7 linked regions of the Mus musculus genome follow. The protein of the gene in region 1 purifies or fractionates together with the protein of each later gene. This does not show direct contact. Links are inferred from orthologs where the notes say so. Each region holds a gene or a part of one and is shown in the gene's direction. Other genes may lie near its edges. The genes, in order: Med9, Med31, Med25, Med4, Med13l, Polr2b and Med18.

Region 1 (4,081 bases):
TTCATTCCACAGTAGTAGTGATAGCTACTGTTTGCTAACACTGCCGTTTTACCATGCATTCTCCCAGATGTCTCCAGAGGTGTCTTCAAGTCTTTTCTGGCACACCTGGTTCCATCTTAGACCATTCTCTTCTCCCTTCTTCCTCAGGAATCATGGCCCTTCCCCTAAGGTGGAGAGGTCCTGGGTTAGAAGGAAATCCTACAGTTTCCTGCAGTGAGAAATGTTCTTCTAATCAGACACTTAGTTCCACAGGGGCCTGTATTCCCTAACTCCACTCCCCCCACCCACCTTTCCCTTTGGGTGATTAGCCCATTGAGTCATATTGAGAAGTTGTGTTCCCACTAATGGGATGAAATGCACCTAAGCCTGAGATGGAAGAAAGTGGCCATTTTGTTGAGTGTTTCTGCTATCTTATCTTGAGTTCTGGTGCACTCATTTTCAAGAAATAAATAAATCACCTTGTTTCACTTTGTTTCTGTCTTCTTTTGAGCAACACTGAGATTATTCTTTTCCTGACAGTGCCTCTGTTTAGAGAACTATCTGCAGCTCTGAAGAAAACAATTCTGAGACCTGTAGCTAAAAAACCTGAAAACACCATTGTGAAGTTCCACGTTCCTGCTTCTTTTTGTTTCTGAGATGTGGGCTCCTGGCCTCTCTTTACTGACATGGTTCCTGTCATCAAAGACAGATGTCCTCTCCCAGTTGACAGCTTCCCTAATCCCTGATTTTTGTTAGTCAGAATCAGAATTACTGCTACCCTTGTCCAGAAAATTTTTAATGGAGCCCATTTGCTTGAAATGAATAAATACAAGCCTATCGTAAAGTTCTCCTATTTGGTCCAAGATCTTAGTCTTATATACGTATGTAGTCTGGCACCTGCTAGATGCATACCAAATGCTTGAAGAACGATTAGTTTTCCCCTTGGCAGCCGTGTGGAACTAGTTTGTATGGCCTGTTTTGCTGTCGCCAGTCTGGGGCCCTCCTGGAGGCTAGCATGACACAAAGACGTGTAAGTCCTTGTCATCTGGATGCTCGCTGCCGCAGAGCCTCAGTTTCACACGGTGCTCACCAGCGTCATCCGTTCTTCCTGCCAGTCCCGGGGGTCCTCGTTGGTGTTTTGACCTCTCTCTGTCATGTGAACTAGAAAGATGACTGGAGTAGATTCCCTAATCCTGACTACTCAATTTAGCTTTCCCGACACCCGTCGCCTAGCAACGCCCGCCCGCCTACGCCCAGGGCGCAGACTCAGAGTTTTTTCCCGCCCGGCCTCCCCGGGCGCGCAGTTGTGACGCAAGCACCCAGCGCCCCTCGGCAGCTGCTGGACTCCTGGTGCTATGGCTTCCTCTGGGGTGGCGGGTGGGAGACAGGCCGAAGATACGCTACAGCCACCGCCCGAGCTGCTGCCGGAGTCCAAGCCGCCACCACCGCCTCAGCCTCTGCCGGTCGCTGCGCTCCCGCCGCCGGCGGCTCCGCGGCCTCAGTCCCCCGCTGGCGCGAAGGAGGAGAATTACTCCTTTTTGCCGTTGGTTCACAATGTCATCAAATGGTAAGGGTCTAGGAAAGGTTAAGACACCACTTTTTGCGACTCTAGTGTCCCTGGTTCCGAGCTGCCAAAGCCCGTGGGCTCTGGACCACGCCCCATTTTCCCAGAGGGCCCACGTTGTCAGGCGCCTTAAGAGTTACACTTTACTCCCGGGTGAAGCCCACGTACTGATCAAATGCATAGATAGGTTCTGCAGTGTCCCATCCCAGATCCTGCAGTGACTTGGGGATGGGTCTTAAGTCCTTACACATAGCCCGAAGGCAATTTTATACAGTTGTTTTAATTCGCCTGCGTTTTGACTGTTCGCATGAAGCCCAGAGCGGAATTTCTCACTTGTGGCATTATATGAGCCCCGAAAAGTGTTCGAATTTTGGTGGACCTCAGACGTTCAGACTCGAGATTCTCACCGTGTACACAGTTTAGTACCCATTTCAATGCGAGGCATCTTACCTGTGTGGGCTCTGTTAGGTACTAGGGTTGTACACCGTAAAGAAAGGAGCAGCCATTTACCCTTACAGGGCTTAACGGTTACAAGCAAAGAAAAACAAACAAACATTCTTAAAAGTGGAGAGATGGCGCACACCTTTAATCCCAGCACTTGGGAGGCAGAGGCAGGCGGATTTCTGAGTTCGAGGCCAGCCTGGTTTACAGAGTGAGTTCCAGGACAGCCAGGGCTATCCAGAGAAACCCTGTCTCCAAACAAACAAGTGGAGAGGGGAGAAGTGATGCTAGGAAACATTTGAAACGAAGACACAGAAGTTGCTCTGAATGATTGTGTCCCACTATTAACTTTATTCTAATAATTCTAATAGAATATACAAGGATGTATGGTCTTTTAGGCCCAAAGTCTCCAGTCTCCATGATGGCCTATGTTTTTGCTCACTCCATATACGCTTGGGTCATTTCCAAGAGGTACACTTTTTGGTGCAAGCATTCTCAAGTGTGCTTTGATAAACTTAGGTGACGCGGAACAGTTACTGCCTGGTGCCTCTTTGTGCAGTCAGGATTCTTAGCAACACTGGGAGTTGGACAGGTTGGTGGGTAAGAGCACTCGCGGTACAAACGGCACAAGGATCTGAGTTCCAATCCTCAGCGTCCACATAAAAAGCCAGTCATGGCTGCTCGTGCCTGGAGCCCCAGCGTCCCAGCGCTACAGACAGATCTCAAGAGCTCTGGCCAGGCTGCCTGGCTGACACTGTTAACTTCCTATTTAATATGAGACCCTGTCTCTAGGCAACAAGGCGAAGCGCTACAGTATAATACATCCATAAACTAGTGACATCATTATTTATTATCATTATCAAGCATTAAGAACTACCTGTAATTGTATAGGTAATACTTTTTATCCATCAGGCAGTATACTTTTTTTTTTTTCACACTCTTGTGAGTGGCGCATTCTGCTGCAACATTACCACAACTACTTTGTCATTAGGCAAAGGAAGGTTTTGGTTACATTATAAGCATTAGACAGTTACTGAATATATGATCTGGCATTAATCAGGTTATTTAGCACATACCTGTATAGCCACAGGACACTAGGTGCAAACCTCTGAATTTCTTCTAAACCATTAGATACTAAAAGTAAATTAAGACAAGATTACAGTTCCGGTCACATTTAGGAACATTGGCAAGCCCTCTTGCTGGAGCTGAGGCAGTCTGGGTTTCTTGCTCTGGTGGTTTGGTGTTTGTCTTAGGACTGCTACTGCTGTGCTGAAACACTGACCAAAAGCAAACTGTGGAGGAAAGGGTTTATCTGACTTACACTTCTGTATCACTTTTCCTCACTGGAGGAAGTCGGCAGCAACCTGCAGGCAGAGGCTGATGTAGAGGCCATGGAGGAGTGCTTTCTTGCTCAGTGCGCTCTCTCTTCCTTTTTTATTGTGTTTGTTTCTCCTTGTATTCCTGGCTGTTCTGGAACTATTTTTAAGCCAGGTTGGCCTCAAATTCAGAAATCTGCTTGCGTCTACACCCCTACGTACTGGGATTAATGTCATGAGCCACCACTGCCCAACTTCAGCGTGCTTTCTTACTCTAGTAAGACCACCAGCCCAGGGTGACTCCCCACAGTGGGTGGGGCCTCCTCACTGTAATCACTAGTTAGGATGCTCTTCAGGCTCGCCTACAGCATGCTTCTGTGGGAGCATTTTTCCAACTGAGTTTCCTTCCTCTCTGCTGACTCTGTGTTAAGTTGACATAAAAGTGGGATAGCACAGCGCTCATCTGCCGCTTTTCAAATGACTGCAAAACCTTGGTTCTCACGTTCACTCCTCTCTTGGCTTCAGACAACGTGAACCTCCCGTATGCAGGGTAAGGCAGACTGTCCCCTCTGTGTTAGCTGTTGGCAAATACATTATGAGATGGAAGTGAGGAAAATAAAAACCATCTCAGGGCAGTGCTGGAGTACTGGTTTATTCAGAGTAACTTGCAAACATTAAAAACATGGGAAATCAGAACACAGATGTATACACATTCACCTATACCTCAGGAAGGATCCTCCTGACCCGGAAGAGCAGTTGGGTTGGGCCAGCCTCAGTGACA
Region 2 (4,300 bases), about 12 Mb from region 1:
TTCTTTTGATGATCTCAGAATAAAATTCAAGCTCTTTACTGTAATCCCAGAAGATTTCCAAGACTCTATATGAAGTGGCATCTTCCTCCTTTTTGTTTTCTTCCTTATACCACGCTCTCATATACTAACTGATCTTTCTCTTACATAAACATCTTTGATTTTTAAAAAAAATGTAGACTTTCCCTTCTGTCTAGAATGCACTTCCCTCTAGATCCTGATATGGCTCACTGTCCACTCACACAAATCTCGGACCAAATGTAATCAGCAAGGCTTTCCCTGACCATATTCTCTAAAGAGTTCCCTACTCTCTACCACAAGACAGACAGCCTTTCCTTCGCGGGAATACAACAGCATGTTGTCTTACTTTCCCCTTTGTTGCATGTCTCTTCATTAGAGGAAGATCCTAGTCTTTTCCACTGCTCTAGCTGCCATGCTCTAACTACTACCTAGCATGCAGTAATACTCAGTTACCATCCTGTCAATCTCACGCCTCAGGCCAAGTGTCATGGCTTCTTCTTTACTTTCCCTTCCAAGATTATTAATGGTTTTATTGATTGTTTATTAATTGTCCTGTTTTTTCCTATACCCCCTGATTTAATTTTTTAAGTGTGGGTGGAATACTATGTATGACAACATGAGAAAATGTATAATGAAATATAAGTATTAATAAAGGCCAATTAATAATGTATGAAAGATGATACCTTGCCCTGTAGGTTTCAAGCAGGTATATGATCAGGCCAGCGGTCAAGAATCATGACAAGTTTGGCCCCTCTTTGCAAATTTCAAGTCGTCAACACATCCTAGAGTGACCTAAGACTATAAAACTTACCTGGTGTAGAGACTCAAAGAATCTCATTGTCCATCAGCCAGGTTTATACTGCACTACCAGTCTGAAACCTTCTGTGCTGGCTTCAAGTTAATAGCACACTGGGGTCAACAACAGGATGGTCTAAGGTGCTGCAATGTCAATACATGTTAACAGCCCCCAGAAACCACAGCCTGTTTCTTACACTGATTTATGGGTTCTTTCCATGAAACCAAAGATGCTCGGTTCTCCTGGAAGATGGCTGGCTGGCAACTCTTCAGTCCTGGCTAAGGACCTTTGGCACTTCATCGAGCCATTCTGGCACTCTGCCTGGCTGGGCTCTCAACACGGTGCACAGTAGTCTCCACCCTCAGGGATGACGACGCCCTGACGTGGCGGGAGGACGTTTCCGTGCACTGCGAGGAGGTTTCCACGTGCTGGGAGGACACCTCAAGGAACTGAGGGAGTCGCTTCGTGGAGGGGGTGAGGGAGGGCCCCTCTCGGTGGCGCTGGGAGGTCTCCACCTGCCGGGAAGACGTTCGAACCTGCCGGGAGGACGTCTCCACGCGGTGGGATGACGTTTCCTCGCGGTGGGACGACGTCTCCACGCGGACAGTCGATGTCTCCTTGTGGCGGGTGCTTTCCACTCGCGGGGCGGAGGACTTGCTCCTAAGGGGCGAGGCCATCCTGCCCATACACCTTGGTCAGGTGGGACAAAGAGGCCCAAGGATCATGCTCTGCGTCACGTCACACAGGGAAAGGTGACGTCAGGGTGGTGTATTACGTCGGGGTAGGTAGCAGGACTCTGAGACCTAAAAAATGAGAAGTCCTCCGGCACGCCCCGCTCGATATCTGCGCGCGCAGCCGGCCGGGTCTGCACAGATAGGTGGGGCTAATTTTCCCATAAGTGAGGTTGTCCCCGCCCTCGTGTCCCACTCTGCCCCGCGACCGGAAGTAGGAGCCGTGGCTTCCGGATTCTCACCAATCGAAGTCGCGGTTCGGTCGGGGCTGGTGGTGTTCGCCTCACTCTGATTGTTATGGCCGCGGCCGTCGCTATGGAGACAGGTACGTTGTGACTTGCACCCCGAGTCTTCACCCCAAGGGAATGGTCCTACGCCCCGAAATTCCCTCCCTTTTCCCTTTTCCTGCGCTGTCTTTCGGGTTCAACTTGGCATCCTTAGAGTTGGGACCGGCGGAGGAGAAGGCTGTGCTGCTTCTCAGACTATGGTCTGTGAAAACATCTTTGCTCCTGGGTTGCTCAAACCCCTACTCCAACCCTGGCTCTTGGGGCCGTGCAGGGCCGTGGGAGAGGACTGAGACCTTCCACTGTCTGTGCTGAAGGTACTCCCAAGAACTTGCCCGAAATATCGATAACCTGTGTATTCTAATGCGGACACCGCCTTCTCTCCATTGTTTAATCACTTTGCATCATGCTTCGGTTTTGTGTAGCACATTGATTTTGCTTAACGTAATCACAGTTGATAGTTGTGGTTATAACAACTTAGGGAACCGCACAGCTATTACAGACTGTCCAGTGATCTCCGCTAACAAAGTGGCCTGCAGGTGGTAAATTCCCATTCAACTTATTTTTTCCTCAATTAACTTTAAAGGATTTCTTTACTATTTTTTGTTTTACTATTTTTGTTTTGGAAACAGGGCCTCATTACTTAGTGAATATATATATATATATATATATATATATATATATATACACACACACACACACACATATATACACACACGCATATACATATATCTTTAATTTCTAAGAAAGTCTCTTCTGCACTTTGATATTTGTCTTTTCTCCTAGATGATGCTGGAAATCGGCTTCGGTTTCAGTTGGAGTTGGAATTTGTGCAATGTTTAGCCAACCCAAACTACCTTAATTGTAAGTTAAGTACATCACTAACTTAAGCAACTAGCTCTTAATTTCTGAGAAGAGATGCAGTTTGTAATACTATTTATTACTTCGATGTGTTTGAATGGGATTTTATTTGTTCTGGTCTGTAAGTTAACTGGGCAAACAAAGGCTTGTGTTTTTAATTCCTTGTGTTCTGTTGGTAGGGATGTTAAGAGCTACTTTGTTTTAGAGATTACTAATCAGTAGTCCAGCGGTTGGTTGACATACGGATTGTTTCTTTGTGTCTTTCAGTTCTTGCCCAAAGAGGTTACTTCAAAGACAAAGCTTTTGTTAATTATCTTAAGTATTTGCTTTACTGGAAAGAACCAGAATATGCCAAATATCTAAAGTAAGTTTAATTTTTATAATCCTAAATCTGTGTATACTTTATCATAAATACAAAGTGCTGATACTGAGCAGTTTTCTCTGTGTGGGAATGGAAAATGATATTTTGAATCTTTCTGCTTTTAGTTAATGTAAGATACTGTCATCTGTAACTTAGATTATTTTAGGAATTGCATTTATTTCTGCTACCATTCTTACCTCACTCCCTTCAAACAGAACCAAACAACTGTCTTCATGGGAGCCAGCTTACTCTCTAAGTAATATAAGCCAGAACACACCACTTCTGTTCATGCAGGCTAGCTAAGATCCAGTCAACTGGTTTCAGACTATAGTTCTAATGTAATTTGGTGTCTAACCTTGTCACTTAGCACTGCCCTTGTCTTTCTGGATTTTTAATGCCTACCAAACTATAATCTAGGAAGGTAGGAAGTATTGTTTTCTGGGAGTTTTAGAGGTACTGCCCTTCTTTATAGTGAGTGTTCTTTGTTTCGAGCACTGTGCTAAATGTATTGTACACATTAACTCACTGTAAAAGAACAAACACGGACACTATCAAACTCAATAGCTTTGACTTAAAAAAAAAAAAAGAAGAAGAAGAAGCTGGCACACACCTTTAATCCCAACATTTGGGAGGCAGAGGTGGGCACATGAATTCAAGGCCAGCTTAGTCTACAGAGCTACTTCCAGGGCAGCAAGCTCTACACAGGTAAGCCCTGTCTAGATGTGCCTCTCAAAGGAGGAGACAACAGAAAAACCAGAAGTTTAGCCTGGCATCCCTTTAATCCCAGCTCTCAAGAAACAGAGTCAGGTAGATCTCTATGAGTTTGAGGCCAGCCTGGTTATGTAGCAAATTTCAGGCCAATCAGGTCCACACAGAGAGACTCTTTTTTGTTTTGTTTTGTTTTGTTTTGTTTTTCGAGACAGGGTTTCTCTGTGTAGCCCTGACTGTCCTGGAACTCACTTTGTAGACCAGGCTGGCCTTGAACTCAGAAATATGCTTACCTCTGCCTCCCAAGTGCTGGGACTAAAGGTGTGCGCCACCACTGCCCGGCAGAGACTCTAATTTTAAAAATGAGAGTAAAACATTTCAAAAATTTCTTTTTATCCTCGTTACCTTCCTGACTTGATTTGCTGCCTGTAGATTTGCTCTTCATGATGCAATTATAGATTCCTTTAGGAATCCAAATGATAGACTTGAAGTTATATTAGAAGATATAAAATGTTACATGCTAGCAAATTTTCAGACCGGA
Region 3 (3,500 bases), on another chromosome or scaffold:
CATGACTTTGTCCCTGGCAGTGGCCAGACCCACCGAGTCTGTCTCCTCATCTGCAACTCACCCCCGTACCTCCTGCCCGCCGTGGAGAGCACCACCTACTCAGGCTGCACTACCGAGAGCCTGGTGCAGAAAATAGGAGAGGTGAGGGGAGTGCTGAGTTGGGGGCTGCACCCCTGTGTGGGAGAGAGGGAGGGAGGGAGGGGGAAGCCCACACCTGGATCCTAGGAAGCAGGCTGGGGTCCGAAACCCAAGGCAAAAAATAGCCAAAGTCTCTGTGCTTGCTTACGACTGTCCATACTCAGAATTCTGGGTAACCTAAGGCCAGGCTTTACGTGCCCACGGTGTGCTGTCCCACCCCGAGGCAGGGGAGGAGACTAACTCCAGCACGTTCATGGAGGCCATTATTGCTTTCCCCTTCTGCAGCGAGGCATCCACTTCTCCATCGTTTCTCCGAGAAAGCTGCCAGCCCTCCGGCTTCTGTTTGAGAAGGCGGCTCCTCCTGCCCTACTGGAGCCTTTGCAGCAACCAGCAGACGTCAGCCAGGACCCCAGGCACATGGTGCTTGTGCGTGGGCTCGTGCTGCCTGGTGAGGCCTGGGTACTGTACGCTAAAGGGGGGGTTCCTTTTCAGTACTCTGTTAACATGGATTTTTGGTTGTCCCTTTTCTACCCCCAACTCCTTCTCTTGGGCCTGTGTTGTCTCTCCTGTGCTCAGTTGGTGGCAGCTCGACCTCAGGCTCTCTGCAGACCAAGCAAGCAGTCCCCTTGCCACCAGCTCCAGCTTCTGCTGCCACGCTGTCAGCAGCGCCCCCGCAGGCTCTGCCCCCTGTCCCACCACAGTACCAGGTATGGATGTAATGGGGGGGGGCAGCTCCTGGGGCCCTGTGGAGACTTGGCCTCTGTGGGGGTGGAGTCAAAGCTCCTGGGTCATCAGAGCTGTGTATTTTGCTTCGGGGTGCAGAAGTACATAGTTCTAGGGGCACATGGTCTTCTTTCATGTGACAGGTTCCTGGGAACCTAAGTGCTGCTCAGGTGGCTGCGCAGAATGCTGTGGAGGCTGCCAAGAGCCAGAAGGCCGGGCTGGGCCCACGCTGTGAGTTCTAGAAGAGGCAGAGGGGGCTTCCCTACATTCTGACCCAGCTACCCACTCACGCTGGTTTCTCCCACAGTCTCACCCATCAACCCTCTCCAGCAAGCTGCTCCAGGAGTGGGGCCCCCCTTCAGCCAGGCCCCAGCACCCCCATTGGCTCCTGTGCCCCCTGGAGCTCCAAAGCCACCTCCTGCCTCACAGCCTAGCCTAGTCTCCACCGTGGCCCCCGGACCAGTCCTGGCAGCTCCTGCGCAGCCTGGGGCGCCGTCTCTGGTAGGTGGCTCGTCGTCCCCAGCCTCAGGCTGCTGCTGTGCTCACAGTAGATGAAAGGTGGTACCTAGCCTCCCGCAAGGGGCCTGAGCTCCACGGTGAGGTGCATAGCTGTGATGTGCAGCTCTGGGGCAGGGCTGTGGGCTCCTGGCCTGAGGAACCCAGGTATCCTGGAATTCTGGGAGTCTGGTTCCTCATGCTTGGCATGGATGGTCTCAGACATATGGTTAGTGGTCGCGGAGGTCCTTTGTCCCGCTCCTATAAGGTGTCTACTCCCCGACAGAGCATGGTGTCCTCATTGCTGTTTGTCCTCAGCAGGCAGGCACTGTAACCCCAGGTGGGGTCAATGGTCCTTCAGCAGCCCAGCTTGGGGGTCCTGCACTTGGTGGGCAGCAGTCAGTATCCAACAAGCTCCTAGCCTGGAGTGGAGTCCTCGAGTGGCAGGAGGTGAGTGGCTGAGAAGGGGGGCTCCCAGAGCACTTAGGATATGCAGAGGAAGGCAGGATGTGTGGCCCAGCTCTCAAGTTGGCATTTAAGAATTATGTTGGGGGGGCTGGTGAGATGGCCTAGTGGGTAAGAGCACCCGACTGCTCTTCCGAAGGTCCGGAGTTCAAATCCCAGCAACCACATGGTGGCTCACAACCATCCGTAACGAGATCTGATGCCCACTTCTGGAGTGTCTGAAGACAGCTACAGTGTACTTACATATAATAAATAAATAAATCTTAAAAAAAAAAAAAAAGAATTATGTTGGTAGCCGGGCGTGGTGGCGCACACCTTTAATCCCAGCACTTGGGAGGCAGAGGCAGGTGGTTTTCTGAGTTCGAGGCCCGCCTGGTCTACAAAGTGAGTTCCAGGACAGCCCGGGCTATACAGAGAAACTCTGTCTCGAAAAACCAAAAAAAAAAAAAAAAAAGAATTATGTTGGAGCCAGGCATGGTAGCATGTCCCACCATTCCCAGTACTGGGGAGGCAGAGCCAGATGGATTTGAGTTTGAGGCCAGTGAGTTCTAGGATGGCCAGGGCTACACAGAAAGACCCTGTTTCAAAAAACCAAAAACAAACAAAAAATTTTATTGGAGCTCATTGGTTGAGCAGTTGTCTACTAGACACAGGCCTCCATCCCCAGTCAGTCAACATGCGTGCACACACACACCCAAAGCAGCAAAAACCAAAATTTGTGCTTTCAACAGGGTTCCAGATATTGGGCTCTGGAGGATAGTGACCATAAGATTTAGGGCCCAGAAGAGGGACCCAGTGTTTGTGGGATCTGGGCACTTGAGTAGGGTTGCTGGGAAGGTGGGGGGAGGGGTTGTGGGCCTGCAGGAGCTGGTGAAGGTTAGGTCACCAGGCCTTGGTTGAGTCACCCTTTCTCTTTCAGAAACCCAAGCCTGCATCTGTGGATGCCAACACCAAGCTGACGAGGTCTCTGCCTTGCCAGGTCTATGTGAACCATGGAGAAAACCTGTAGGTATTTGTCAGGGGCGGGGCAGGCTCAGCCTGACTGCCCTGACTCTCCTTTCCCTGTGCTGCCTTCCAGGAAGACTGAGCAGTGGCCCCAGAAACTGATCATGCAGCTTATCCCTCAGCAGCTGCTGGTGAGTCCTGCCCGGCCAGGCCTGCCTGGGCCTCACACCTTGTTCCTCACGTGATGCTTCCCCTCTGTGTGTTGCCCCACGTGATACCTGTATGCTTCCAGACCACCCTGGGTCCGCTGTTCCGGAACTCAAGAATGGTTCAGTTCCACTTCACCAACAAGGACCTGGAGTCCCTCAAAGGCCTCTACCGCATCATGGGCAATGGCTTTGTGAGTGCACTAACTCCTGTCCCCTTCTCTGCCAACTTGGTGAGGGCCCCGGGGACCCAGCCCCAGGAGCTGCTGATCCTCGCACCCTGTGCCTTATTGTGGCACTGCAGATAGAACCTCGTCCTTGCTTAAGTACATGTGTCCTAGGGCCCACTGAGTCCCTGAGATAAGACATACTGTGTAGCAACACCTCCACGTGGACGTCCTGCTGCCCCAGGCTCCCTTGGGTTGCCTTTGTAGGCTTGTGCAGTGGAGCCTGACTTCTCTGCCCCTCTTGTTTTCTGTTGGATAGGGCCTGCCCTTGCAACTCATCTGACCTGTTGTAGGGGCATCT
Region 4 (2,998 bases), on another chromosome or scaffold:
TACAGGTGTCACCATGCCTGGCCTGCTGAGCTCTTGTGTTATAACATGCATTATGTCACGAGTCTTGAGAACAGCCTGGCCTGTACTAACACTATTTAATAAATGCTGTTATTAGTGAATCTTTCTCGCTAGAGGAGAAAAATGGGCTCATGCAAGGCAGTGATTTTTCCTATGTCGTACTACTAGCAAATGAAGGGCTGCAAACTGAACCCCAGGCTCCTGTTGGGTATTAACCTTTGTGGCCTTTTGCCATATCTGTATACCATCTATTCAATTGTACTGTGTTTTTAACCACCTCATTCTTCAGACTACCTGCATTCTAAGCAGTACTGGGTGTCATATAGCTTCTAATATATCAGTGCAATTACATTTCAAAGTTTTTAAGTCTCTTACTGCCTGTTAAACTTGCCGCCTGAAAGCATTAGATTTTAGAGGAGGTTTTTTTGTTTGATTGTTTGTTTTTTAGTTCCATTGTATGTTAAGGATAAATTTAAAAATTTTATCCTTGGAAGGTGAACAAATCTGAAATTTGGCATGGTACTACTGCTGAAAGATTTGTTCTTTATGGAAGAGGAGCAGAATGAATGGCACTTCTTGGTATTAAGACTGTTTCCCAAAATAACCACAAATGGCATGCTGATTAAGAATATTTCAAGGTGTTAAAATGTATAAACCTAGCCAATTCAATTATAGATTATCTCCTGGTGGTAGCCTTGATAATCCTGTTGTCTGATGGAATCAACTGTTACTCTACAGGTCTTGGAGTTGCTAATTCACCGAGATGGGGACTTCCAAGAACTAATGAAATTAGCACTTAATCAGGGAAAAGTTCACCACGAAATGCAGGCTTTAGAGAAAGAAGTAGAGAAGAGAGACAGTGATATTCAGCAGCTGCAGAAACAGCTGAAAGAGGCCGAGCAGATCCTGGTGAGTTGATGGATGGTCCTGAGAGAGGGAGCTGCTTCATTCTCTTCTGAGGGGTCTGTTATCTTAGTTTGTGTGTGTGCTCGAGCGCAGGGTGTGGGGGGGGGGGGAGCTGCCATTTTTAAGGTTGTTTTTATTTTACTTTATGTGCATCAGAGTTTTGCTTGAATGTACGCATGTATATCATATCATATGTGTGCCTGGTGCCTATAGAGGCCAGAAGAGGACATCAGATCCCCTGGAACTGGAGTTACAGACAGTTTTGTGAGCCACATGTAGTTGCTGGGTCCTCTGGAAGATCAGTCTGTGCTCTTAACCAGTGAACTACCTTCCTAGCCCCCCACCCCTTTTAGTTGGCTAGATAGGACTTTATGCCAATTGCAAACTCAAACTTGGTGGCTATCCTCCTGCCTCATCCTACCCATGGTTCAGTGACCACCCTCCCATTTATTTTCAGATAGCCTATATTATTTTTGTGCTATATATTTTATTTAAATGCTTTATAGAAATTGGAAGGGAATTGTACTTTTGACCTAATTAAGGTTTGATATAAGTAATCAAACTGTCTAGTTTGTGAAATATTTTGGGTCAATAAACATGTACTAGTTTCACAGAATATTTAAAATTTCATTAATCTATCTGCTCTTCCATCTTAAGTTGGTAAGTTATCAATCAAGGCTCTGTATTAGGTGTTCCTTTGTTTTCTATTATTTAAAACATTTCTGTTTGTAAAATAAACGGTTTTATGTGCATGTGTTTTGCCCATAAGAAGGAACCATCACAGGTGAATACTTTGGGGTTTTTGTTTGGATTTTTAAGTAAATGCTTTAAAAAATTTTTTTTTTCCTAGTGAAAGAAATATTTACTTACCAGAAAATACAGAAAGTAGAAAAAGGAAAATTTGCCTTTGTTTTACAGTAGCACAGTGCACATCCAGTGTTGTTGTTGTTGTCTCTCTAGGCAGGGCTGGTGTGTTGTAGTTCCAAGAGGACTTTCTGCTTGTAGCCCTCATCTTCTCTCCTCCCGTCCTAATCCCCACGGAACCCTTCACCCCGGCATTCCCTCCCTGCACGGCCATGGCTTTCTAACAGCTATTTATCAACAGGAGGCTGAGTTGTGAATACATTTCTCTCATTAACTATAAGTGATATTTAATGTGATATAAATGAGATTAAGTGGTGCTTCAGAAAGACGACTGATAAATTTCAGGGATTTCTAAGTCTTGTTATTGTTTCTGTAGGTGAGTAACCTTGTGTATCTAAAAACTGTGCATGATATAGTGAAGAATAATTTGTATTTTAAATTTGTTCAAATTAGGCAACAGCTGTTTACCAGGCAAAGGAAAAACTCAAGTCAATAGAGAAAGCAAGAAAAGGTTGGTACCATGGGAAGGCTGCCTGGCTGAAATATAAGCCCATGTCTTAGGATGCTGATAAGGGCTGGGGAGAAGATGCAGTGGGTAAAAAGTTTGTTCATGTGTGATCCCTAGAACCGCATAAGCTGTGTACGTGCCCACACTCACATGCTTTCACACACACATGCACACATTCTCATATCAATGCACATGAAAATAAAATATTTAGTTGATAAAACTAAAAACTACTCCAGTCGGGCTGTTGGGAGGATGCTCAGTAGTTACTCAGTGTAGCGTGTGATGTGTTCTTGCATCCTGAAGAGGGTACACGTAGCTCACAACCCTCCGTTAGTTTATAACCAATGAGAGAAGCGGATGGGGCTTTATCTCAGGTGTATAGTGAGGACACTGGTTTACAGAAGTGTTGAGAAAGAAGGAGAAGCAAAATTGAAGTTGGATCTTGAATGCTAGGAGGAAACAATGTTGGGAACCACACAGCTAAACTGAGAAGGAAACACTAGAGTCAGAGACCATCAGCTAGTACACTGTGCCTGCCTGCCTGCCTGCCTGCCTGCCTCCTGCCCACTTAAAAGCCTTACATGGTCTAGTTGGTCTTTATACCAAGAGTGAAATTACAGCTGTTTCACTTTAATACTTTGTGCATTTGGTTTACATTTAGCCATTTCTCCATCTCTGATTTGTTCTCTGCTTGCCAGTATG
Region 5 (3,500 bases), on another chromosome or scaffold:
GGTTTTATGAAGCACCGAGCCACCGTGGCTGGCTCTAGTTTGCCAGCATTAAGCCAACCCCATTTCATTGTCACAGGACTTTTCCTATGTGCACAAAGTGCCGCAGTTCCAGCCTTTCGTGGGATCCTCCATGTTTGCTCCACTGAAGACGCTGCCGAGCCATTGCCTGCTGCCTCTGAAGACACCTGACGCCTGTCTGTTCCGGCCCTCATGGGCGGTCCCTCCTAAGATGGAACAGCTGCCCATGCCCCCTGCAGCCTCTTCTATTAGAGACGGCTACAAGTATGTGTGGGACTCTACCTACCCCTTACCATATGTGATAGCACCTCACTGTTTTCTCAGACTCGTCCCGGGGCCACAGTGGCTCAGTCTCTGAGACCACTTGCTCGCTTAGTTTCCTTTTGACCATGTTGTCTTGTGCGGGTCTGTGTGTTTATTTTTAAATGTTTCTTCTGTGTGTGTGTGTGTGTGTGTGTGTGTGTGTGTGTGTGTATGTATGTGTGTGTGTTTGTGCGCACTTGCATGTTTGTATACAAATTAAGATTAGAGAGCTGTGTGTGATTCTAAGCTGGTGTTTGCCATAGAATCTACACTTGATTGAAGTTGTTGATGTTTGTGGGTAGTGGGAGGAGCTTTGATTTGTAAGGTAATGGTTTCAGTGTGGGACTTTACAATTAGGTAAAGCAGTAACAGGTTGAGGTGTGGTTGGGGAAAGTAAAGGTAGACATGGCTGGTAACTTGGTTGTCTCGACCTGCCGGAGAAACAGTATTTATACCAGCAGTGCAGACTCCGCTTTCTTTGAAAGAAAGAACCTCTTATTCAGATAATTTGCGAATGCAAATGTGCATCTGAGCCACATGCATGTGTGGATGGATAAGCAAGCAAGTGCAGGTTGCAGGTGTTTTGCTCGGTTTCACTGCAGGGACTGTGGAGATGAGTGGGCTCCAGCACATGCCCCTTCTTAGGGACAGTTGTCAGGCAGGGAGATTGAATATGTATATTGTCTTATTTTAAAATGTTAACCACTAATTCAAAGATAAGCCTTAGGAACAAGTAAAACAAATTTCTGGTTCAGGACTCATTTTTGTCACATGTCTGTGACAGACGCCAGTGATTTACATAGTCAGTGTCAGAATGAGGAACTGGGTAGAAAAAAATGACAGGAGGACCCTGGATTTGGGAGCTAGCACCACCATGCCGTGTGACAGCTCTGCCTTATAAAATGGCTACTTGGGCTTGAAGGGTGCTGCACCTGGGTCTCCCACGCCTTACAGTGGGCTCCCTCTCCCCAGAGCTTTGGGAAAGCTCCAGCAGCCAGTGGCAGCAGACCACGGTGGGGAGGGGAGAGGACTGTGCCGCTGCCCTGCAAGTGGTTGGCCTGGCTGCTGCCAAGCTCCATTTGGGCTCTAGCTGTGCAGCCTCAGCCCCAGACTCTCTGGACAGGCTCTGGTAGTCGTCATGCTCTGAGCTGTCACTATACCCATCACTCACTCCTGCCCTGTGCCCTCTGCAGCAGAGGTTAGGCTGGCATTGCTACAGAGCCTGTGCTTACAGGAAGGTACCTTTTCCCCTACGGTCTGATGTGTCGTGGTCTGATGTCAGCGTTGACCCCTACCATGTGGCTAGTTTGTTGTTAGCTCTGCTTCACTTAAAACTAGCCTTGGGGTCCCAGACCTGCTTTATGGAGCAGGCAGCACAGCTCTGCACTGTCAGGGTCCCACTGGGTTCCCCAGTGCCCACTGCGTTTGGCTCACCTGTCTGTCACACTTGGGACATTTGCTGATGCTTGCTTCAGGACTGCTGCAGGCCACGCCAACTTCTGTCTCTCTGCTGACTGTCCCATTTTTCACACAAGATTGGTCTTCAGTCCATTCTTAATGAACAGGGAAGAATGAGGCTGTTTTCTACCTAGGGAACAAGTGAAGTACTTAGATTTTCAGTTAGCAATCATGGATCCTTTTTGGTCCAAACTGCAGATTCATTTTAGAATTTTGTTGACCAGGAAAATTTAAAGGAATCTAGTGAGTGTGCAGATAGTTATTTATTGCACTGTTGAATTTCTGTATCAGCTTTTGTTTGAACCCAAGAAACCCTTGTATGTCAGGGTTTATATAAATATTGCCTGATACCTGGGACACCTGAGATATCTGGGCCAATGGTGCAGGTTCTAGAAGATTACAGGGCAATAACTGTGTAAGTAATACAGGTGTGCAGCTCACTGAGGAGCACAGGCTTCATGTGCCAAGGCACCAGAACTGAAATACTTGCTGTCCCTGATGACTTGCAAGTGCACAGGCCCATGGGAGTGTGTTGAGATGTTTTATAATGGTAGAACATGCAAATGCTGCAGACATGGTCTCCTTTTCTGCTTGGCTGCTCTTCCCAAGCCACTGCTTATGAGGTAAGCCCTGTCCGTCTGAGGAATGAGAGTGATTGTGTAGAATATGTAACATGGAAGGATAAAGAAAACCGAAAGGGAATCTTCAGGAACCTCTTGGTGCGTCTTTCTCAGTGACTGCTGAGTGACACTAAAGCCTGTGCAGGACAGACAGATGGGCACAACAGTCACACAGTGCTGGGGACACGCAAGCCCTTACCAGGGCTGCCTTCTGAATTAGGAAAGCACCACATTTGAATGTGTGTTTGGTTACAGCTACTTCAGTATCATTACAGAATCATAGCCTCCAAGAAAAGCACACAGGCGGGCTCTCAGTTTCAAAGATGGCAAAGATGTAGCTGCAGGGTGGATGCAAGCCCTGCAGTGCTCCAGCTAGTCTAGGCTGCACTCTGTGCTCCTCACACAGCTTCCTCCATGACCGCTACCGTGCAGGCTCCCCACAGCTCCACAGCAGGTCAAGGTGTGGAGTGTGTGTGTGTGTGTGTGTGTGTGTGTGTGTGTGTGTGAGAGAGAGAGAGAGAGAGAGAGAGAGAGAGAGAATTCTCATGTTCTCCCTCTGCCCCTCTCTCCTTCCTTCCTTCTCTCCCTCATTTTTTCTTTGTTTTTGAAGAGAAAATTGCAGATATTCAGTGCAGGGCTATGGGGTGGGGTGTGCAGGGAGCTTCTGTACACTCCCCCCCCCCCAAAGCTACTTTGTATCTGTTGCAGTAACGTGCCTAGTGTCGGGAGCCTTGCAGACCCAGACTATCTGAACACACCACAGATGAACACACCTGTGACACTCAACAGCGCCGCCCCTGCCAGCAACAGTGGAGCTGGAGTTCTCCCATCTCCAGCTACCCCTCGGTTCTCTGTCCCCACACCACGAACCCCCAGGACTCCAAGAACTCCCAGAGGTGGGGGCACTGCTAGTGGCCAAGGGTCTGTGAAATATGACAGCACAGATCAGGGGTCACCAGCTTCCACCCCCTCTACCACAAGGCCCCTTAACTCTGTGGAGCCTGCCACCATGCAGCCAATTCCTGAGGCCCACAGTCTCTATGTCACCCTCATTCTGTCAGATTCTGTGATGAATGTCTTCAAGGACAGGAACTTTGACAG
Region 6 (3,500 bases), on another chromosome or scaffold:
CTTGGAGTTTAAGGCCAGTCTGGTCTACAGAGTGAGTTCTAGGATATCAGGCTACACAGAGAAACCTGTATTTGGGGTGGGGTTGCGGGGGTGGTGAGCACAGCTAACGATGCTGTGGGAGAATACATGTGTAGGACACAGGCATTCTTCCTCATGTGACAGTGGCCACACAATAGGGAATGCTTCTTTTGATAGAATCCAACTTTCTACTGTTCTGTTCCTTTTTTTCCCTTAGTAAGTTTCTTTTCCTTTTTAAAAAATCATTTTTATTTTATGCGTATGAGTGTTTTGCCTGTGTATATGCCCAATGACCATGGAAGCCAGAAGAGAACATCTGATTGGAGATACAGATGGTTATGAGCTGCCGTGTGGGTACTCGGACTTGATCCTGGGTCCTCTGGAAGAGCAGCTAGTGATCTTAAGTGCTGAGCTATTTCCCCACTCCCACTTTGAGACAAGGTGTTTGCTCGGGAGTCTTTGCTGGCTTCAAACTCACAGAGACCCATCTGCCTCTGCCTCCTGAGCGTTGGGATTAAGGGTGTGTGCCACCATGTCCAGGTATAGTATAGTAGATTACACACACACACACACACACACACACACACACACACACACACACACACACATACACACACAGAGATACATACATACACAGAGATACATATACACACACACAGATACATATACACACACACACAGATACATACACACACACACATAGACACATACACACACACACAGATATACACACACACAGATACATACATACACACACAGAGATACATACACACACACAGATACACACACACATACACACACACACACGCACACGTACACGCACACCTGGTATTAGAGTGCAGAGTTTCTGGGGTTTGGAATAAGGACAGTAATGAACAATATTGTGGTGCTAGAGACTTGCTATGAGTTAATCACTGGTTTGTACAGAGTTATACATGCATTTCTCATGCTTGTTGGAGGAGCTGTGTGGCGTGTTAAATACTTCCCGTTAGTGTCACTTAGGAAAGTCCCCTGTCTTTCTGCTCCAGGAATGAGGCATGCCATCTATGAAAAGTTGGACGATGACGGTTTGATAGCTCCGGGGGTCCGAGTCTCCGGAGATGACGTTATTATCGGCAAGACAGTCACCTTACCCGAGAACGAGGATGAGCTGGAGAGCACCAACAGGCGCTACACCAAGAGGGACTGCAGCACTTTCCTCAGAACTAGTGAGACGGGCATCGTGGACCAGGTCATGGTCACTCTCAACCAGGAAGGATATAAATTTTGTAAAATAAGGGTGAGTATAGTTTTATTCATGTAGACCATTTTAGAAATTAATTGCGTTTCAGTTTCTAACTCATTTTTATGTGAAACCAGGTGCGCTCTGTTAGAATTCCGCAGATTGGAGACAAATTTGCTAGCCGACATGGTCAGAAGGGAACTTGTGGTATTCAGTATAGACAAGAGGTAGGTGTCTCCAGTCTTTCTCTTGCCTAACCCAGAGTTGTATTGAAAGATTAATTAAAATTTCCTGTAGCTTTTTTTTTTTTAATTTTAGTGTTTGTTAGCCTATTATGTTGAAAAGAATTAGGACATTCAAGTTTTCCCTTGGGAAGTGTCAGGTCTGTCTAGCTTTGTCTCTAAGAGATTCCCATGTCTTTATGTTGTTTACAATTTTCTCTGTAGGACATGCCGTTCACTTGCGAAGGCATAACTCCTGACATCATCATAAACCCCCACGCCATCCCCTCCCGGATGACAATTGGTCACTTGATCGAATGTCTCCAAGGGAAGGTAAGATTTTGTCTTGAAAAGCAATAGGTTCCAACTTGATGTTTCTTTCATTTTGGTGACCATTTCTCTGATCATTGAGCCAAGATACTTTGTTAAAAGCTAATATGATATTTTCCTGCATTCAGACTGGTTATTCCACTTTTTCATGCTTTTTCATTTTGAAGAAATCTGTGAGTGGTTAGGGAGCCGGCTTGGTAGATAGGGGCATTTCTGTGCAAGCATGATGCCCTCGGTTTATTCATGTAAAGAGTCATGAGACCCAGGGCTGGGAAAACGTTAGCAAGCCTGACAGCCTGAGCTTATACCTGATCCCGCCCGCATGCTGGAAGGACAGATTAACTTCTGATCTCTGCATAAAGAAATTGATATATAAATAATGTGTGTGTCGAGGGGTGCTGTAACCCCAGTCAGTGTATTGTTGATGTGTGTGGAGACAGGAGAGTCACTGTGGATTGGTGGCCCAGCTCAAAGTTCAGGAAGGAGAGACCTGTCTCAGGGCAGTATGAAGAATGATAGAGCATTGGTTTTTGCCTGTTGCTGTGATAGAACGACTTAGGGAAGAAAGGGTTTGTTTGATCCCACAGCTTACAGTCTTGCCTATCTCGAAGGGAAGTCAGGGCAGGAACTAAAACAGGCTGTGGAGGATCCCCATGCCCCGGGCTTGCCCAGTTTGGTTTCCAGTACCACACCTGTTCCTGGATGGTGGCCCTCAGGTGCACTGAGCCTCACATGTCCACATCAGTCAAGACAGGTCCTCACAGAGCAGTCTGGTGGCAGTTCCCCAGTTCAGGCTCCCACTTGTTTCTGGTTGACAAGTTAACCAGCAACCTGATGTCCTCTTCTACTTCTACACATAGATGTGTGTTCCTCCCTTTCACATACACATACCAACACACACGTGTTTGCACACTCGAAAAACTGCCAAGTATTACCAAGGAAGAGTTTTTGCCCAAGTACCTTGTGCTAGCCAATTATACCACTGGGGCTTAAGACTAATTTATTTGTAAGATATAGTACAAACAGCATTTGCAGATATTTGTGGTTATAGCAACTGGCTCTTTTCTAGAGATGAGTTAATTCATAGACAGTTCACTTAGTATGGCTTTAGGAAATGTTAAAATTTTGGTATCAGCTGTGTATTCATCTTTCAGGGTAAGTTTTCTGGATTTGGGTGTCTTGTTAAAGTAAAATGATAGTAGTCTAACACGATGGCTTCATTTAAGACATTAAGATGTTGTTTTCCATGAGTACATCAGACGTGTTTGGGATCCTTGCTATCTTCGTGTAGGATCCCATGGATAGACTTCAATCTGAGAGCATTTTAGCCCTTGTTTTTTAGGAAATTACTTTGTTACAAGTATCTTTCTTAGGTAAGATATTAAAAAAATGATTCTCAGTATATCACAACTTTTATAACCATTTTTAATTTCAAAATTTTGCCTTTTATAGAAAACATTTTTAATTTGGGTCTCTATTGATGTGTGACTTCTTTCATACGTGCTTTCATCCCAAAGGTCTCTGCCAACAAGGGTGAAATTGGTGACGCTACTCCATTTAATGATGCTGTCAATGTGCAGAAGATTTCTAATCTTTTGTCTGACTATGGCTACCATCTCAGAGGGAACGAGGTACATTTACTATAACCTGAATGTAGCAAGCATATTCTGTGGAGGGTACTTTTATATATATAAGAAAGCTGTTTACCT
Region 7 (2,693 bases), on another chromosome or scaffold:
TAATCTTATTTAATCTTTGTTGTTGTTTAATTTTATTATTTTATAGTGCTAGGAATTGAACCCCGAGCCTTCTGTGTCAGTCCTCAGCCGTTAAGCTCCATCCCTCAGCCTTGGTCCTCTTGGTGCCTTGATCAAACCCCAGCAAGGCCTTGCATCTGGAGCACATGGTCTCTCACAGATCTACACCCAGCCACAATGATTTATTTATAGCCAATGCAATTTTTCCATTTGTAGAACAAATTCAGATTTTCTTTTTCATATAATTATACTTCAGAACAAGAAGCCGGGCATGGTGATAACACCCCTTTCATCCCATTAAGGCAGGCAGGTGCTGGAGCAGTAGCTGAGAGCTACAGCCTGAGCCACTGACAGAAAGATGGGGGCCCGCTTTTGAAAACTCCCACTGACACACCTCCTCCAACAAGGACGTTCCTCCTAGTCCTTCCCTAAACAATAGGAAGTAGAGACTAGACATTCAAATCCAGGAGCTGTGGGGGCTACTGTCATGCAAACCACTACCCGGCATTTGCTGCTAAGTCAGACAACCTGGGTTCAATCTGGGACCCACAGGGAATCCGTTCTAGCGGGTTATCCTCCAACCAACATTTATGTGCCATTGTATTCTCGAGTTTGCCGAGACAAGAATGACTAAATATAAAACGTTTTGAATAGACAAATAAATAGAATCCCATGGATTGTTCTTAGAAAACGTTGCATAGAACTATTTATTTGGTGTGTGTATCTTTCGCTGGTTTCATGACCCTAAATGAAATGAAAGCCGGGACTCACTGTGCTTGTGCCTCTTCAGGAAGTGTTTTGGACCACAGTTTGGAAAGCCTCATCCATCGCCTCCGAGGTTTGTGTGACAACATGGAGCCTGAGACCTTCCTTGATCACGAGATGGTCTTCCTGCTTAAGGGCCAGCAGGCCAGCCCGTTCGTCCTAAGGGCCCGGCGCTCCATGGACAGGGCAGGGGCACCCTGGCATCTGCGATACCTGGGACAGCCCGAAATGGGAGACAAGAACCGCCACGCCCTGGTGCGCAACTGTGTGGACATCGCCACGTCTGAGAACCTCACGGACTTCCTGATGGAGATGGGCTTCCGCATGGACCATGAGTTTGTCGCCAAAGGACACCTGTTTCGGAAGGGCATCATGAAGGTTGTGGTGTACAAGATTTTCCGAATCCTGGTCCCAGGGAACACGGACAGCACCGAGGCCCTGTCCCTCTCCTATCTTGTGGAATTAAGTGTTGTCGCCCCGGCTGGGCAGGACATGGTCTCTGATGACATGAGGAACTTTGCAGAGCAGCTCAAACCTCTGGTTCACCTGGAAAAAATAGACCCCAAAAGGCTGATGTGATGAAGAAAGTTTGTCGGCCTTTTAGGCCTGTCCCCACCTGGGAGGTGAGAGACTTCGAAAGTAGCCCAGGTACTGCTGCCAGCCGGGCCCACTTCCTTCCAGAAGATGATGGCGAGACCTGGTTCCTTTCAACTGTTTCCTTCACTTGGTAATGTCTCTTTTTTCTTGCAACAGGGTTTTACCATGGAATTCACTACATAAACTAGCTACCCTGGAACTCAGGACCCTGTACTTCCCGCCTAAGTGCCTGCAAGGTCCTTATTAAACCTGACTGTTCATCTTCTTGATAGGCTTTTCCAATGAAAGACCCAGGATAATATGGAGATTTGTTCAAGTCCTCCCTCCACTCAAAAAGAGGGAACTGGAATAAATTAGCTTTTCAGAGGAAAGGTCAAAAAACAACTCATAATATTTTGCTTTTTTTTTCTTTTTTCTCTTCTTTTCTTTTCTTTTTTGTTTTTTTTTTTTGTTTTTTGTTTGTTTGTTTGTTTGTTTGTTTGTTTTGTTTTTCAATACAAGACAGGGTTTCTCTGTGTTGCTTTGGCTGCCCTGGAACTCACTTTGTAGACCAGGCTGGCCTCAAACTCAGAAATCCACCTGCCTCTGCCTCCCGAGTACTGGAATTAAAGGCGTGCGATAACACGCAAGCCCGGCTGTTTGTTTTTTTTTTTTTGTTTTTTTTTTGTTTTTTTTAGAGAAACATTTTTTATTCCTTTATTTATTTGTTGTTTTCTTCATATGTTTTAAATTGTGTTGTTTTGCCATTGATATACAAGGTTTACAATGGTGGTGTGAGCCAGCATTGTGTGGTAATAAAGACTGAAAAGACTCAGTTGTGATTCTGATTCTTACTCGTCTTAACTCCTTCCTAGTCTACTTCTATATTGCTATAGTTCTGTCTTACTATTGTTGTTATTGTGTATGCTGTGGGGGCCTCTCCAGGACCCACATGGGAGAAAGAAAGAACCGACTCCTGCCTGTTGCCGTCCTGTTTCTCCACAGGATTGGTTGAGTCCTGCACCCACATGTGTGCACACCCACACACAAATGTAATCAAAAACATTCAAGTAGCTGGTGATGGAGAGGTGGCTTAGCTGCTAAAGAGCACTGGCTGCTCCTGCAGAGAGGACCAGGCTTAATTCCAACACATCCTTGAGTGCTGACAACCTTCCGTAGGAGTCCAGTTCTAGGTGATTGGATGCTCTCTTTTGAAGTACACAGGCACCAGGCACACACTCAGTACACAGACATGTTCAGGCAAGAAAAGGGCCATGTGCTGGTGGTGCATGCCATTAACATTAGTCCTGGCACTCAGGAGGCAGAGGCAGGCA

Evidence for each region.
Region 2: the proteins of Med9 (region 1) and Med31 purify together in Homo sapiens (affinity purification with mass spectrometry; 4 studies listed by BioGRID and IntAct, with this or other methods). This does not show direct contact. The link is inferred for Mus musculus from reciprocal best matches to the Homo sapiens genes MED9 and MED31.
Region 3: the proteins of Med9 (region 1) and Med25 purify together in Homo sapiens (co-immunoprecipitation; 3 studies listed by BioGRID and IntAct, with this or other methods). This does not show direct contact. The link is inferred for Mus musculus from reciprocal best matches to the Homo sapiens genes MED9 and MED25.
Region 4: the proteins of Med9 (region 1) and Med4 purify together in Homo sapiens (affinity purification with mass spectrometry; 10 studies listed by BioGRID and IntAct, with this or other methods). This does not show direct contact. The link is inferred for Mus musculus from reciprocal best matches to the Homo sapiens genes MED9 and MED4.
Region 5: the proteins of Med9 (region 1) and Med13l purify together in Homo sapiens (affinity purification with mass spectrometry; 5 studies listed by BioGRID and IntAct, with this or other methods). This does not show direct contact. The link is inferred for Mus musculus from reciprocal best matches to the Homo sapiens genes MED9 and MED13L.
Region 6: the proteins of Med9 (region 1) and Polr2b purify together in Homo sapiens (affinity purification with mass spectrometry; 4 studies listed by BioGRID and IntAct, with this or other methods). This does not show direct contact. The link is inferred for Mus musculus from reciprocal best matches to the Homo sapiens genes MED9 and POLR2B.
Region 7: the proteins of Med9 (region 1) and Med18 purify together in Homo sapiens (affinity purification with mass spectrometry; 6 studies listed by BioGRID and IntAct, counting the BioPlex papers as one, with this or other methods). This does not show direct contact. The link is inferred for Mus musculus from reciprocal best matches to the Homo sapiens genes MED9 and MED18.

What each region holds. Positions count from the first base shown.
Region 1 is NC_000077.6:59,946,933-59,951,013, forward strand, and holds the start of Med9 (mediator of RNA polymerase II transcription subunit 9), read left to right. Parts: upstream 1-1,281; 5' UTR 1,282-1,334; coding exon 1,335-1,546; intron 1,547-4,081.
Region 2 is NC_000077.6:72,212,531-72,216,830, reverse strand, and holds the start of Med31 (mediator of RNA polymerase II transcription subunit 31), read left to right. Parts: upstream 1-1,500; 5' UTR 1,501-1,842; coding exon 1,843-1,870; intron 1,871-2,615; coding exon 2,616-2,693; intron 2,694-2,957; coding exon 2,958-3,054; intron 3,055-4,300. Other genes in the region: 4930563E22Rik (uncharacterized protein C17orf100 homolog), read right to left, coding at 1,111-1,500. UniProt on the Homo sapiens protein: Component of the Mediator complex, a coactivator involved in the regulated transcription of nearly all RNA polymerase II-dependent genes.
Region 3 is NC_000073.6:44,882,425-44,885,924, reverse strand, and holds part of Med25 (mediator of RNA polymerase II transcription subunit 25), read left to right. Parts: intron 1-20; coding exon 21-141; intron 142-423; coding exon 424-586; intron 587-714; coding exon 715-845; intron 846-1,004; coding exon 1,005-1,092; intron 1,093-1,168; coding exon 1,169-1,362; intron 1,363-1,674; coding exon of another isoform or gene 1,675-1,677; coding exon 1,678-1,806; intron 1,807-2,740; coding exon 2,741-2,826; intron 2,827-2,899; coding exon 2,900-2,957; intron 2,958-3,058; coding exon 3,059-3,166; intron 3,167-3,500. UniProt on the Homo sapiens protein: Component of the Mediator complex, a coactivator involved in the regulated transcription of nearly all RNA polymerase II-dependent genes.
Region 4 is NC_000080.6:73,513,049-73,516,046, forward strand, and holds part of Med4 (mediator of RNA polymerase II transcription subunit 4), read left to right. Parts: intron 1-756; coding exon 757-927; intron 928-2,241; coding exon 2,242-2,299; intron 2,300-2,998. UniProt on the Homo sapiens protein: Component of the Mediator complex, a coactivator involved in the regulated transcription of nearly all RNA polymerase II-dependent genes.
Region 5 is NC_000071.6:118,738,719-118,742,218, forward strand, and holds part of Med13l (mediator of RNA polymerase II transcription subunit 13-like), read left to right. Parts: intron 1-76; coding exon 77-282; intron 283-3,107; coding exon 3,108-3,500. UniProt on the Homo sapiens protein: Component of the Mediator complex, a coactivator involved in the regulated transcription of nearly all RNA polymerase II-dependent genes.
Region 6 is NC_000071.6:77,341,484-77,344,983, forward strand, and holds part of Polr2b (DNA-directed RNA polymerase II subunit RPB2), read left to right. Parts: intron 1-1,046; coding exon 1,047-1,297; intron 1,298-1,377; coding exon 1,378-1,467; intron 1,468-1,686; coding exon 1,687-1,794; intron 1,795-3,308; coding exon 3,309-3,422; intron 3,423-3,500. UniProt on the Homo sapiens protein: Catalytic core component of RNA polymerase II (Pol II), a DNA-dependent RNA polymerase which synthesizes mRNA precursors and many functional non-coding RNAs using the four ribonucleoside triphosphates as substrates.
Region 7 is NC_000070.6:132,458,229-132,460,921, reverse strand, and holds the end of Med18 (mediator of RNA polymerase II transcription subunit 18), read left to right. Parts: intron 1-808; coding exon 809-1,362; 3' UTR 1,363-2,193; downstream 2,194-2,693. UniProt on the Homo sapiens protein: Component of the Mediator complex, a coactivator involved in the regulated transcription of nearly all RNA polymerase II-dependent genes.